Oryzias latipes: one gene and its partners. The protein of the gene in region 3 purifies or fractionates together with the protein of the main gene of each other region. This does not show direct contact. Links are inferred from orthologs where the notes say so. Each region holds a gene or a part of one and is shown on either strand. Other genes may lie near its edges. The genes, in order: srebf2, insig1 and scap.

Region 1 (3,755 bases), on a different chromosome or scaffold from region 3:
AAACTGACAGAGTATTTCACAAATGTTAGCTTTAAAATCTTGTTGAATCAATATTTTACAAATGACAGCAGTTTGTGTTTCTAATAAATGTATAATGTAAATTTTATAATCTAAATATAGGAAATTCATTTTTAGCAGGATCACATACATTTTGAAAGTCCAACAAACAAATCCTTCAAATGATTTTTTTAATAAGAAGGATGACAAAGCTTCTGTTAAGGTATAAATTAATCATTTTAAGACAATCTGGCTAAGATCTGCAATTTATAAAAGCATTTGGAAGAAGTCCTTTTCTTCTATATCTTTAAAACTGGTCATTTTGTTTGCAATTTTATGGCTTTGTAGCATCATTTGATCTTAAAATAACTTGTTTTCCTACTCCTACAGAAAATGTCACGATGGGCAGTGAGTCCTCAGACTCCGCCGGTCACCTGTGGCACATCGGAAAAATGTTGTTTGCCCTTTTTTTGGTTGTTGCCGGGGGAACGCAGACAGTAAACAAAGCGTATAAAGCAATGATCCTTTGTGTCTTAAAATAAACAACTTCATCTCTGAGCGTGTGTTTAAAGAGGTGCAACAAACGCAATAATGGTGTGAAAGTTAGACATAAAGCAGTTTTTTGAACGCATTCTCATGCAGACATGCTCGTCTTCATCCGTACTGTGCAGCAGACGGGACAACACTTCTCTGAGCCTCCAAAGCTTTAAACAAGCAGACACAAAGTAAATCCATCAAAAGGGGGAGCTGAGAGCAAAGAAAATACGTTATGTAACCAACAGTCGAAAAGATTAAAAGACAGGGAAGGGAAGCCAAGGATTTAATCATACAATCAAAAAACAAAAAATGACTTCTAATGTGAGCAAAAGGCTTTGAGAATTTAAATGCATGTAAGGGATGAGAGCTTTAGAAGGTTTGTTTGTTTTAACTCAATGATAGATGTTCTGCTGGTGGGTGCTTTAATGTTTCTTCACCAGTTTGCATTGAAGCAAAAACCAAAATGACAGAATTTCAAAATAAAAGAGCAGTTTCTCACTGCATCTTGATGGTCTCTGCCTCATAATAATGTTATACACCTAGTACCATTCTATAGTTCTCTATGTAGAACACACCCACATTTCATCAGTCCAGTCTGGTGACATTGAATGAGATTCCACACTAATGGGGATCTGGTGACTAGTGTTCAACCAAAAGCTCTGTCCTTTTACCCTCTGACAGATTTGCCTTTGACAATAGTAACAACACATCTGTCTTACCTATCAAAAAACGCAAGGAATGCAGACATCAGTGCAATTCTTAAGTAATTCCTTCATAATAAAGCTGGAAAATAACGACCACAACCTTTTCAACTGTCTTGTTCTTTCTTTAAATATTTTTCATTTTGCTTTACCAATAGAAGCCTATGTTCTGCTAATATTATATTATAATTTTTATGCTATCTTCCTTCATGTTTTATATAAATAATAAACACACAGGTGATGCTTTCTCAGTTTTGACTGACTGGTATTCCTCGACAGCCGCTTTGCCTCATTAAAAAAACGTCAGTTTTGAAAAATGACACTAGTTTGGGTGAATTTCTAGTCATTTTTAATCTCTAGCTTTTTTTTTTTGCACCTTTAATTTAACAAATAACGAAAAATAGCTTTTGTTTAGTAAAATATTGAATGAATCCAACAGGAAACGGAAAAGCAGAGACAAGTTTACGTGTATTTCCCACAAAAATAAACGTAGCTACAAACTAAATTAATAATAAACCCTGTGTGTTAAGAGCTACTGAAATATCTTAGTTTTCTAGGCTTAGAACATATGTGGAAGACGGACACTTACTATAATTAAAAAATAATAACAACACCTGAGTGTGTTGACAAAACCCAGTGAACTCACCGTCAATGTCTCCTAAAGTGAATTCGTCCCCTAATTCCGTTAAGCTCGGGTCCATGTTCTCCACGGTGGAGATGAACTCTCCGGTGTCCATCCTGACAGCAGCAGCTCTCCGGCACTCTCCCGCCGGGGGTTGCCGGACACGACACTCACAAACCACCGCCTCCTCTGAAGGGGCCCTGCCTACAGCTCAGCTACCGGCTAGATATATTTGTTCCGTATCGAAGTAGTCGTAACACAACAATAAACCGCCAAAAGAGGCTGACTTTTACTCCGATAAACACTTTTACATCGATTTACAGCCAAGGCGACGCCATCTTGTTTTACGCTAATTACGTCATTCACAAACATACTCCGGAGCTGAAGCCGGGATCTGATTGGTGGAAACCTAATTGTTCTTGTCATGGGACCAGTCATCAGTGACCAATGACAGAGCGGGATTTACCGTGGTCTGATAGCACGTCAACCATCAGAAGCCTGCGTGTCATTTGAATAAACCGCGCCCCCTGTCTTTATAAAGGAAACAGGAGCAATGGAGAGTCTGATTCGTCAGGCGGTTACTATTTATGAGTTTACATTAATACTGTAATTAAAAGCAGCGATAGAAATAAGCTCAACTTAAATCTTAAAATATTTACTTATGCGAAAATCAAATTTTCTGTTAATATGTGGAACTTTTGTCATTTAATTATTGAATTCTAACCATTTTCTGAATTCTATTTTAATAAAATATTTAAATGATAAAAACGCATATATTTAAATAAGTATTTTTAAAGAAACTAATGCTTGTAAAACCTAAAATAATATAAAACTTGTATTTAACATTTAAATGTGTTCTTTTTTTGCAGTATTCAACAGTTAATAAAGGACTGAACAACAAGCTTGTATATATACATGAAGAATAAAAAAGGCAAAAAAAAGGGTCTAAAATATAAGAGCGGTAGAGTTTATCCTGTCACCTCACCATTTGGCTGCTTTGTGTTGCGTGTAAATACCGTTTCGCACATTTACTCGCTTGTAAAGCATCGGTGCTACATCAGCACAATAACTCACCCAGTCACAGGTACCGTAAGTCTACAAATCTGCAGTGTGAGAAGTTCATTTGAGCAGCCTTCCCATTCATAATTAGCTGTGTTCCCTCACAACGTCCAGCTCATCCTAACCTGCCATGCAGCCTCCTCATTTAAACCTTAGTGGATATAGTGCTCAGGTTCAACTGCAAGTAAATTAGAAACATCTAACTGCAATGTTGTGGTACACTTGACTCCAGATTTTTTTTTTTGAATTATTTGTTTATTATTTTTATTTATTCGTTCATCTTCTTTACTGTTTTATCCCTTTCAGGGTCATTGGACTGCTGGAGCCTATCCCGGCTACTTGTGGGCAAAGGCAGGGGACACCCTGGACGGGTCGCCAGTCTGTCGCCATCACACACCCATGTACACTCACACCTAGGTACCATTTAGAGTCACCAATTAACCTATGAAGCAGTGGGAGGAAGCTGGAGTCCCCTGGGAGAACACAGAAAGGTCCTCCATTGATGTTCTGTTTTAGGTCTCCCAGCCGGGGGCCTTCTTGATGTGAGGCAAAAGCCTTTAGAAATAGAACATTAGAAGACAGGTTTAAGGTGTTTTATATCAAAAAACAGAAATAAATCAGCATACATTCAAGTCATTTTACATACTTTTTATTATTTAGTGCATATTGTGCTTAAAATACTTTTGTTCCATTATGTGGAGAAATGGTAACAAAAAACACTTAACGGTAAATGCCAGTTGGTAAACAGAATTAAATCAGTCATTTGAAAAATACATAATCGTTAATGTAGGAAAACTAAAGAAGTGCATGTTTATCTGTTAGGAAACATAAGAATAATA
Region 2 (3,429 bases), on a different chromosome or scaffold from region 3:
TAGACTTTGCCAACAATGTGCAGCTCTCCCTAACCCTGGCCGCGCTCTCCTTGGGCCTGTGGTGGACGTTCGACCGCTCCAGGAGTGGCTTCGGTCTGGGCATCACCACCGCCTTCCTCGCTACTGTCATCACACAACTGCTGGTCTACAATGGCGTTTACCAGTAAGTCAGCCTTTTTTCAGGGGAGATTTGGAGCAACAACGTGTGGTTTCAATGTTGTGTGAACAAACAAGAATGTTTCTCTCTTATGGCTGATTCTCAACACTAATAAGTGATTGTGCAGTAGTAAAAGTTGACCTTTGTCACTTAGAATCCATTTAACTGACTGGTTACTAATGTTATTGGATGCAATCTGTTTTTTTTTCTTCTCCGCTTTGAAGACTTTTATTTTTAGATGATCTCATTCTTCAAATTCACATGGGTAGTTGCGTAACATTTAGCCCTGCTTACATGGTGAACAGCAGAACGGCACACCAGAGGATCAGAACATTTCTATGAGAGATTGTTGACATTTTTAATCCATCCGCCTCGCGATACCTGCAATTATCTGACCCTTGATTCCTTCTCTTTGCTGTAGGTACACATCTCCAGATTTCCTTTATGTGCGCTCGTGGCTGCCGTGCATATTCTTCTCAGGCGGTGTGACTGTGGGGAACATAGGACGCCAGCTTGCCATGGTAAAGCCCTCTGTCAGTTGTTTTTCTTGTAAAGAGTCGCACAGACAAACCTAACTGCCTAAGTCTAAAGCTGCATTCACACCAAACACGATTTGCTTTGCGAATCCGCGTCCTCCGCCTCTATTTTGCCGCGCAGCGAATTCTCTGCTGGACGCTGGTTGAAAAAGGTGTTCATAAATCTGACGCTCCCGCCCGCCGTGTGTGGGAGGAGCTTCTGTCCAACGTCTTCAGCTTCATTGCTACATTGCTCTACAAAAACATCATTAATCACGTCTCCATGTCTGGGTTCATGAGATCATTCAGAGGCTCTCGCAGTACGGTGATCTTCACCGTCTACTGCAGGAGTTGCGTCTGAATGGCGGACGCTTTCAGCGGTACTTCCGTCTCTCTGTGACCCACTTTTGAAGACCTGGTGTCCCGCATTATTCTGAGGAGTGACAAATAAAAACAAAAATAAAATTAGAGGCACTTTTTATTTTGTATCCAGACAAATAAGAAAAATATCTTAACGATCAGTTTCTCCTCCCTGGTGGTTTTGGACTCCACCCGTTGATTACATTATCAAGACGTCACGGGCAAAAGACTGCCAAACTTCAGAAATGTGTATTTCACTGCGCCTCACTCAACACTTAGATTGTTCCGTAGGAGCTCTGATTGCATCTGTACATTGACTGCAGTGAAACTGGACGACTCTGCCGCGTGAATCTCGTTTGGTGGGAATGCAGCTTAACATCTAACCTGCTGCTCAAAACAGGTGAACTGTACTACACCAGAAGACTCACTGTTGGGGCTAAAAAAAAGCTTGTTGTAGAGTTGCAGAGTTTGTTTTCAGCCTCCTTTTAGACTGGTGTGCCTCTGAGGTGTGCACACAAAATTCCAAAACAGCAACAATGTCAGTCAGAATATATCTGAATGTGAAGCAGGAAATGTTTTATGGACTTCCTGAAACAATAAATCCATCTACTTGACCAGCATGTGGTGATGTTGATTAGGGGCTGCAGCACAATAGTCTGTAATGTTAGATTCTTATTTTGCTATTTTATTGGTTAAAATTTGTATATTTCTGTCACAACATCTTCATTTAAAAAAAATTAAATTACAGTTTTCCCTAGTTTGTCGCTGTAGTTACCTTCAAAAAGTTACCTGCAATAGGTATTTAATGATTTTTTTTAACAATAAATAAGCCCTCACAACACACTTTATACCATTTTCTCTTAAAGACATTAATATTTTTGCACTTTTTTTCTCAAATCTTTATAGAAAATCCCATCCTGTTATTATAGAATGAAAACAAAAATCTGATTGAGATTTGAAGATTTATGTCACTTTGGGAAAAGTAACATATTCTGTACAGCATATTCTGCACGGAGGGGATTGGTTGACAAGGTCAACGGCCAATCAGGATGCAGAACTCAATGCACTGGGGCAAAACTGCACAAAAAATCCACAAAATATGTCCCCCTAATATAGCGAGGGAACACTTTATCAAAACTTTCAAACTCTTCAAGGTGGTTCAATAACTGAAATGTATGTCACGATTTTAACATTCAACGTTTTAACCCTTTCAGTTCTTTTCAAGCAGTTTGATCAAGTTCTGGTTCTGAATATTGAACTTTAACATCATTAGTGTTTTCTTTGCTACACGTTTGTCATCCTATGAAAATACACCACAAAAAAACACAATTCTCTTACTCAATAAGGCACAATCTGCATTCAGTGAGCGAATACAATTATTTGCACACTTTCCATTTCACTCCACAAAATCCTGTAGCATCTGAGGAAAGGCGGGGGGGGGGGGGGGGGGGGGGGGTTATTGGTGAGTTTGTTTAACCATCAGTTGAAATGAAAGAGAAAATAAATCTAAAGTGTCTCATCTTCATTTTCCACTCCTTTAAAGAGTAGAACCAGTTCTGTAGGTGTTTCTGGTTTGATTTGCAACAGTCAGGTGTTTCTCTTAATCTTGATTAACTTTTTTTTTTAATTTGTCTGTTTGTTTTTAAAAGTTTACACTTTTTTGATTGTCACAAAAACCGGCTCCTGTGTTTATTACTTAGCAGCAGCCAGTCACAAAATATTCCAAAAGCCTCTGCTGCAGCGAACCCACTTCATATGGAATTATGTAGTTGAGCAAGAGCAGGAGATAAGATTGTAATGGTTTAAATTTGTGCAAAGAGCATTGGACACCCTCCTCTCCTTTATAATTACCCCATCAAGTCGGCTTGATGTCTTCATTAAGCTCGTGCCCGGAAGCCTCACCTCATTCTGTCTGTAAAGCCAGAGCGCCGTCACTCCCTCAGTTTGACTCGGTAAAAGCGTGAAAGCAGATTAAGAGCTGTTGTTTCTCACAGCCGCCGGGAGACACAGAGCCAGTCGGGACTCGGCTGACCGAAGGGTCATTTGCTGCTTGTTGTTTTTGTTTGTGATGAGGCCCGAGGACTGTTGGCACAAGTCTGAACTCGCACTTTTCAGCCTTTTCTTTTTCTCTCCTCCTTCCGCTCCATGGCGTCATTTATGAGAAGGATCAGGAGGAACCTGAGACTTTATTTCTATTCCACTTGTCTAGTTTGCATTTAAGCCGATTCTACTAAAAGAATTTGTCATAATAAAAGGTTTAAGTCATTTTTTAATCGTTTATACTTTCAAATTAAAAACCCAGTCTAATGAAAATTGAGTTTTAGTGTTTTGAACATCTTCTTGTGGCATTTTTGTGATAAAGGAGGACATATATAAAGAAAATTAATCTTAAAATTG
Region 3 (3,655 bases):
TTAATATTGTTATTTTACTTTTATTAAAATTGTTTTGTCTATTGGAATTTTTTATTGATATACCGGTACATATTATTATTTGTAATTCTGTCATCATTATTAACATTATGGTAAACTTTATGATATAAATTAATGGTAGTAACTATTCATTTATATGGTGTCTTTTTTATTGATTTATTAGTAACAGTCTTGTCAAATATCCACTGAACTGAGTCACCAACACTCACTGACACAAACACTTTCTTGTTCTCCTGTTTCATTTGGTTGGCATCTGTATGTCATCCTATACAATCACTTTGTCTGTAATGGTGTCTTGTATGTTTTTCACTCCACTATTTCCTTTATCATCCTTCTGCACAGATAATCAATTGTTTTATGCATCTGAACGTTTTTTTATTTTATTTTACTGTGTTTTAATCCATAATTCATAACGTATTTTGATATCCACTGTGTTATTAAATGTTTTCTTGTACTTATATATACATACATTTTAAATTTAGACTAGAAAGATAAACACTTCTTGTTTTAGTAAAACGGATGAAAGACATTTGAATAAAAGGGGGAGGGGTTAGTTGCTCTGCAGGTGTTTTTACCTGTTGTTCAAGAAGGCTAAAGCTGTGATTCCAGAGACTCCGTCTTCATTTCTGCATCGCAGAGACCCTTCCACTGCATCCCACAACTGAAAGACAGGCGCCATGTGTTTCAATACATTGATATGAATATATGTTGTTTAATTGTGAGCTTGGGCAGACAAACTTTGTAAAAATGCCCCTCCTCCCAAATGCAGGTGGAGCATTTTCCTGTCATTGATGGGACATCCAGTCAAATAGGTTCATTTCTGTTGCAAAACTGTAAAAAAAGCTAATTGGCTAATTAAGAGATGCTGAGTGAGGTTTTTCTCCTACTTCCAGTTTGCCGCTGCTCCTCCCAGCAGCTATCAGGTTTCCTCTCAGCTCCATGGCCCACACAGAGCTCTCCCAGTCTGGAGCCGCCTGAGTCCCGGATCCGGAGCCTCTCTCCTGACTCGAAGCCCCGCCTCCATCGCCAACGCTGAGTCTCCTCTGAGGCTGAGCAGCTGAGGACGGCGATGAGGACGCAGAGGAGGCACAGGGGTAGCTGGACGGCGATGGCGGCTCGTGCTCTGTGTACGCCCGCTCCACCAGACTGCCGTAGTCAAAGCCTTCTTTGGGTGGGGTGGACAGGTGAGAAGGGGGCTGGGAGGTGAAGTTGGTGTCAATAAGCGGAGTCAGATCGGGCTGGTCGGTGAAAAGAACCACTCTGGAGGGTGAGGCGCGGCGCCTCAGCGGGAAATAGTCCTCCTCTGAGAGGTTCTCCCCGCCGATGGAGGGATCTCGGCTCTCAAAGCCCAAACCTTCGGGTTCTCTGCTCAAACCATCCAAGCCCTCCCGCTGCTCCCAGCAGCCACTGCTGCTGCTCCGCCTCAGCCTGGGGGGGGGGGGGGGGGGGGGGGGGGGGGGGGGGGGGGCACAGAACTTTGTTAGCTCTAGAGCAAAAGAAATTACTCAAGAGTAAACAGTAAAATGAATCATGACAAAAAGGAACCCTACTTTTACTACAGAATGAGTACTTTCAAATGTACAACCTTTCCCAGAAGTCTATTCCGCTAATGCAGGGGTCGGCAACCTTTTTTACTCAAAGAGCCATTTGGGACCGCCCCTAATGAAAAAAAAAGCACCCGGAGCCACAACCCGTTTTGACATCATTATATATATTATGCATGTATATATTATATCAAGGGTGCTCATTACGTCGATCGCGATCGAATTTCAATGACATAAGTGTAGATTGCGGGCCAGAAAAGATAAAAAAAAAAGTACTTCTTCATGTTTATTTGTTACATGTTTATTTCAACATTATTGTTTATGTACTGATGATTAAAAACTACACAGTGAGTTTACATAAAGATACTTTTGTATTAACAGATAAGGCGTTTTATTACAAAGACAGAAAGCAGCGACCATCGTATTCATGCTCTGCTGTAAACGGTGCAATGCGGGGAGCGTGGCATATTGTGAGGCATTTGGCGCTGTTGGCTCCGTATTGATCAGTATTGATGGGGAACAACGACTACTAATTTAGTGCTCCGTCCTCCGAAAACACAATATATTTCACGCACACACCTCCGCTCCGTGCTGACACCCCCATCTCCACCTGCACGCGCCCCTCCCTCGTGGCACGCGCACCGCTCAGCACAAACACACACTCGGCAACAGTATAAAGCGCGCGCCTCACAGCTTCCTTGATGAGCTCGTATTTATCGGGCGAGAACTGCAGAGCTTATAGCAGGAGGAGAAACGCGGGGCGGCTTTAATAAATTCCGGTTGCTGGACTTCTACCGGGGACATGATGTGCCGCGGGGAGAAAAAGACGTTCTGAAGGCAGAGTTTGCGCTGAGTGCATTTATTTATTTTATTTTTTTTAACTTGTCCTGTCCAACAGCTGGGCAAACAGATGAGAGCTGAGGGCCTCTTGTGTTGGACATATTTTATTTTAACAAGAGGGGTTATTCATCTTCAGACAAACCAAAGGTATGTCTGAATAAACCCCTTTTGTAATTGAGGCCAAACTTTATTAATTTCAATCATGTTTGAAAATCTTTGGTGTTGGACCGGACGGAAAAAGAAAGAGGGGAAGAAGAGAGAGGGACGTTAGAGAGAGGGGGGGGTAGGAGGGTGATAATAGGAGGGGAAGGGGGGTAAGACCATGAAGCAGCATAGAGCAGACAGGTTTACTGGTTGTTTATCGTTACGGTACGGTTCAAATGTAGTACAAAAAGGGCGGGGCCTGTTCACAGACACTCAAATATTATCAACACACCTGCTAGCCGCAAAAATGTCCACATGTCAACATGCACACAAGACAGATAGTGTTCACGAACGCATACCTATGCCTTTAAACCAACTAGTGTGAAATCTTTCATTCATTCAATCATGCAAACTATTAGTGCAAAGGTGAGCTAACACCTGTGCTCAGGTGAGTGTATATGTTCTTCTAAAATGGATGGTGGAATGTGAAAAGAAGGAGGAGGAGCGCCCAGCCACCCCCACACCCATACCCCCGCCGCAGCAGCAGCGGCAGCCGGAATTCCCCCGACGCCACACGGGAACAGGCAGGGAACAACCGCCCCCCGGGCGACCAAGACCGCCACCCAGGCCAGGGCCAGCAGGACCGCCGCGAGGCCCCCAGAGCCAGAGAGCAGGGAGGCGCAGAGGGAAAGAGAGCGCCGCCCCAGCCCAGCCAGGAAAGCAGCCCCCCGCCGCGCCGGAAGAGCCCAACGCAGGGCCCCACCGGAGAGGGACGCCCACAGCCCCAGACGAGCACCCCACCACCACCCAGGAGTTCCGGGCATCCCCCCGCCCCGACCCCAGGTACGAGCCAGGACCCCCCAAGGGAGACCCGCTCCGCACTCCAGGCAGCCACCCACCCGGCCCACGGTTGGTCCAGGTAGGAGCAAGGCAGGGGCCCGCCGCCCCCGCCCAGGAGGGGGGAACCCCGGGGAAAAAAGGGCGGCCCACAAGGGATGTTATAAATATGGCCCGACCAGGCTCGGCCATGTTGGAAGTTTGGCGGGGCCCAGCGCCCAGGGGCAAGGACCAGGACCCACCCCCCAGGGACACGAACACCCCCGGCTCAG

The links.
Region 1: the proteins of scap (region 3) and srebf2 purify together in Homo sapiens (affinity purification with western blotting; 3 studies listed by BioGRID and IntAct, with this or other methods). This does not show direct contact. The link is inferred for Oryzias latipes from reciprocal best matches to the Homo sapiens genes SCAP and SREBF2.
Region 2: the proteins of scap (region 3) and insig1 purify together in Homo sapiens (affinity purification with western blotting; 11 studies listed by BioGRID and IntAct, with this or other methods). This does not show direct contact. The link is inferred for Oryzias latipes from reciprocal best matches to the Homo sapiens genes SCAP and INSIG1.

What each region holds. Positions count from the first base shown.
Region 1 is NC_019866.2:19,993,380-19,997,134, reverse strand, and holds the start of srebf2 (sterol regulatory element-binding protein 2), read right to left. Parts: upstream 2,225-3,755; 5' UTR 1,973-2,224; coding exon 1,882-1,972; intron 1-1,881.
Region 2 is NC_019878.2:19,443,331-19,446,759, forward strand, and holds part of insig1 (insulin-induced gene 1 protein), read left to right. Parts: coding exon 1-163; intron 164-578; coding exon 579-678; intron 679-3,429. UniProt on the Homo sapiens protein: Oxysterol-binding protein that mediates feedback control of cholesterol synthesis by controlling both endoplasmic reticulum to Golgi transport of SCAP and degradation of HMGCR.
Region 3 is NC_019874.2:27,614,269-27,617,923, forward strand, and holds part of scap (sterol regulatory element-binding protein cleavage-activating protein), read right to left. Parts: intron 1,447-3,655; coding exon 906-1,446; intron 680-905; coding exon 594-679; intron 1-593. UniProt on the Homo sapiens protein: Escort protein required for cholesterol as well as lipid homeostasis.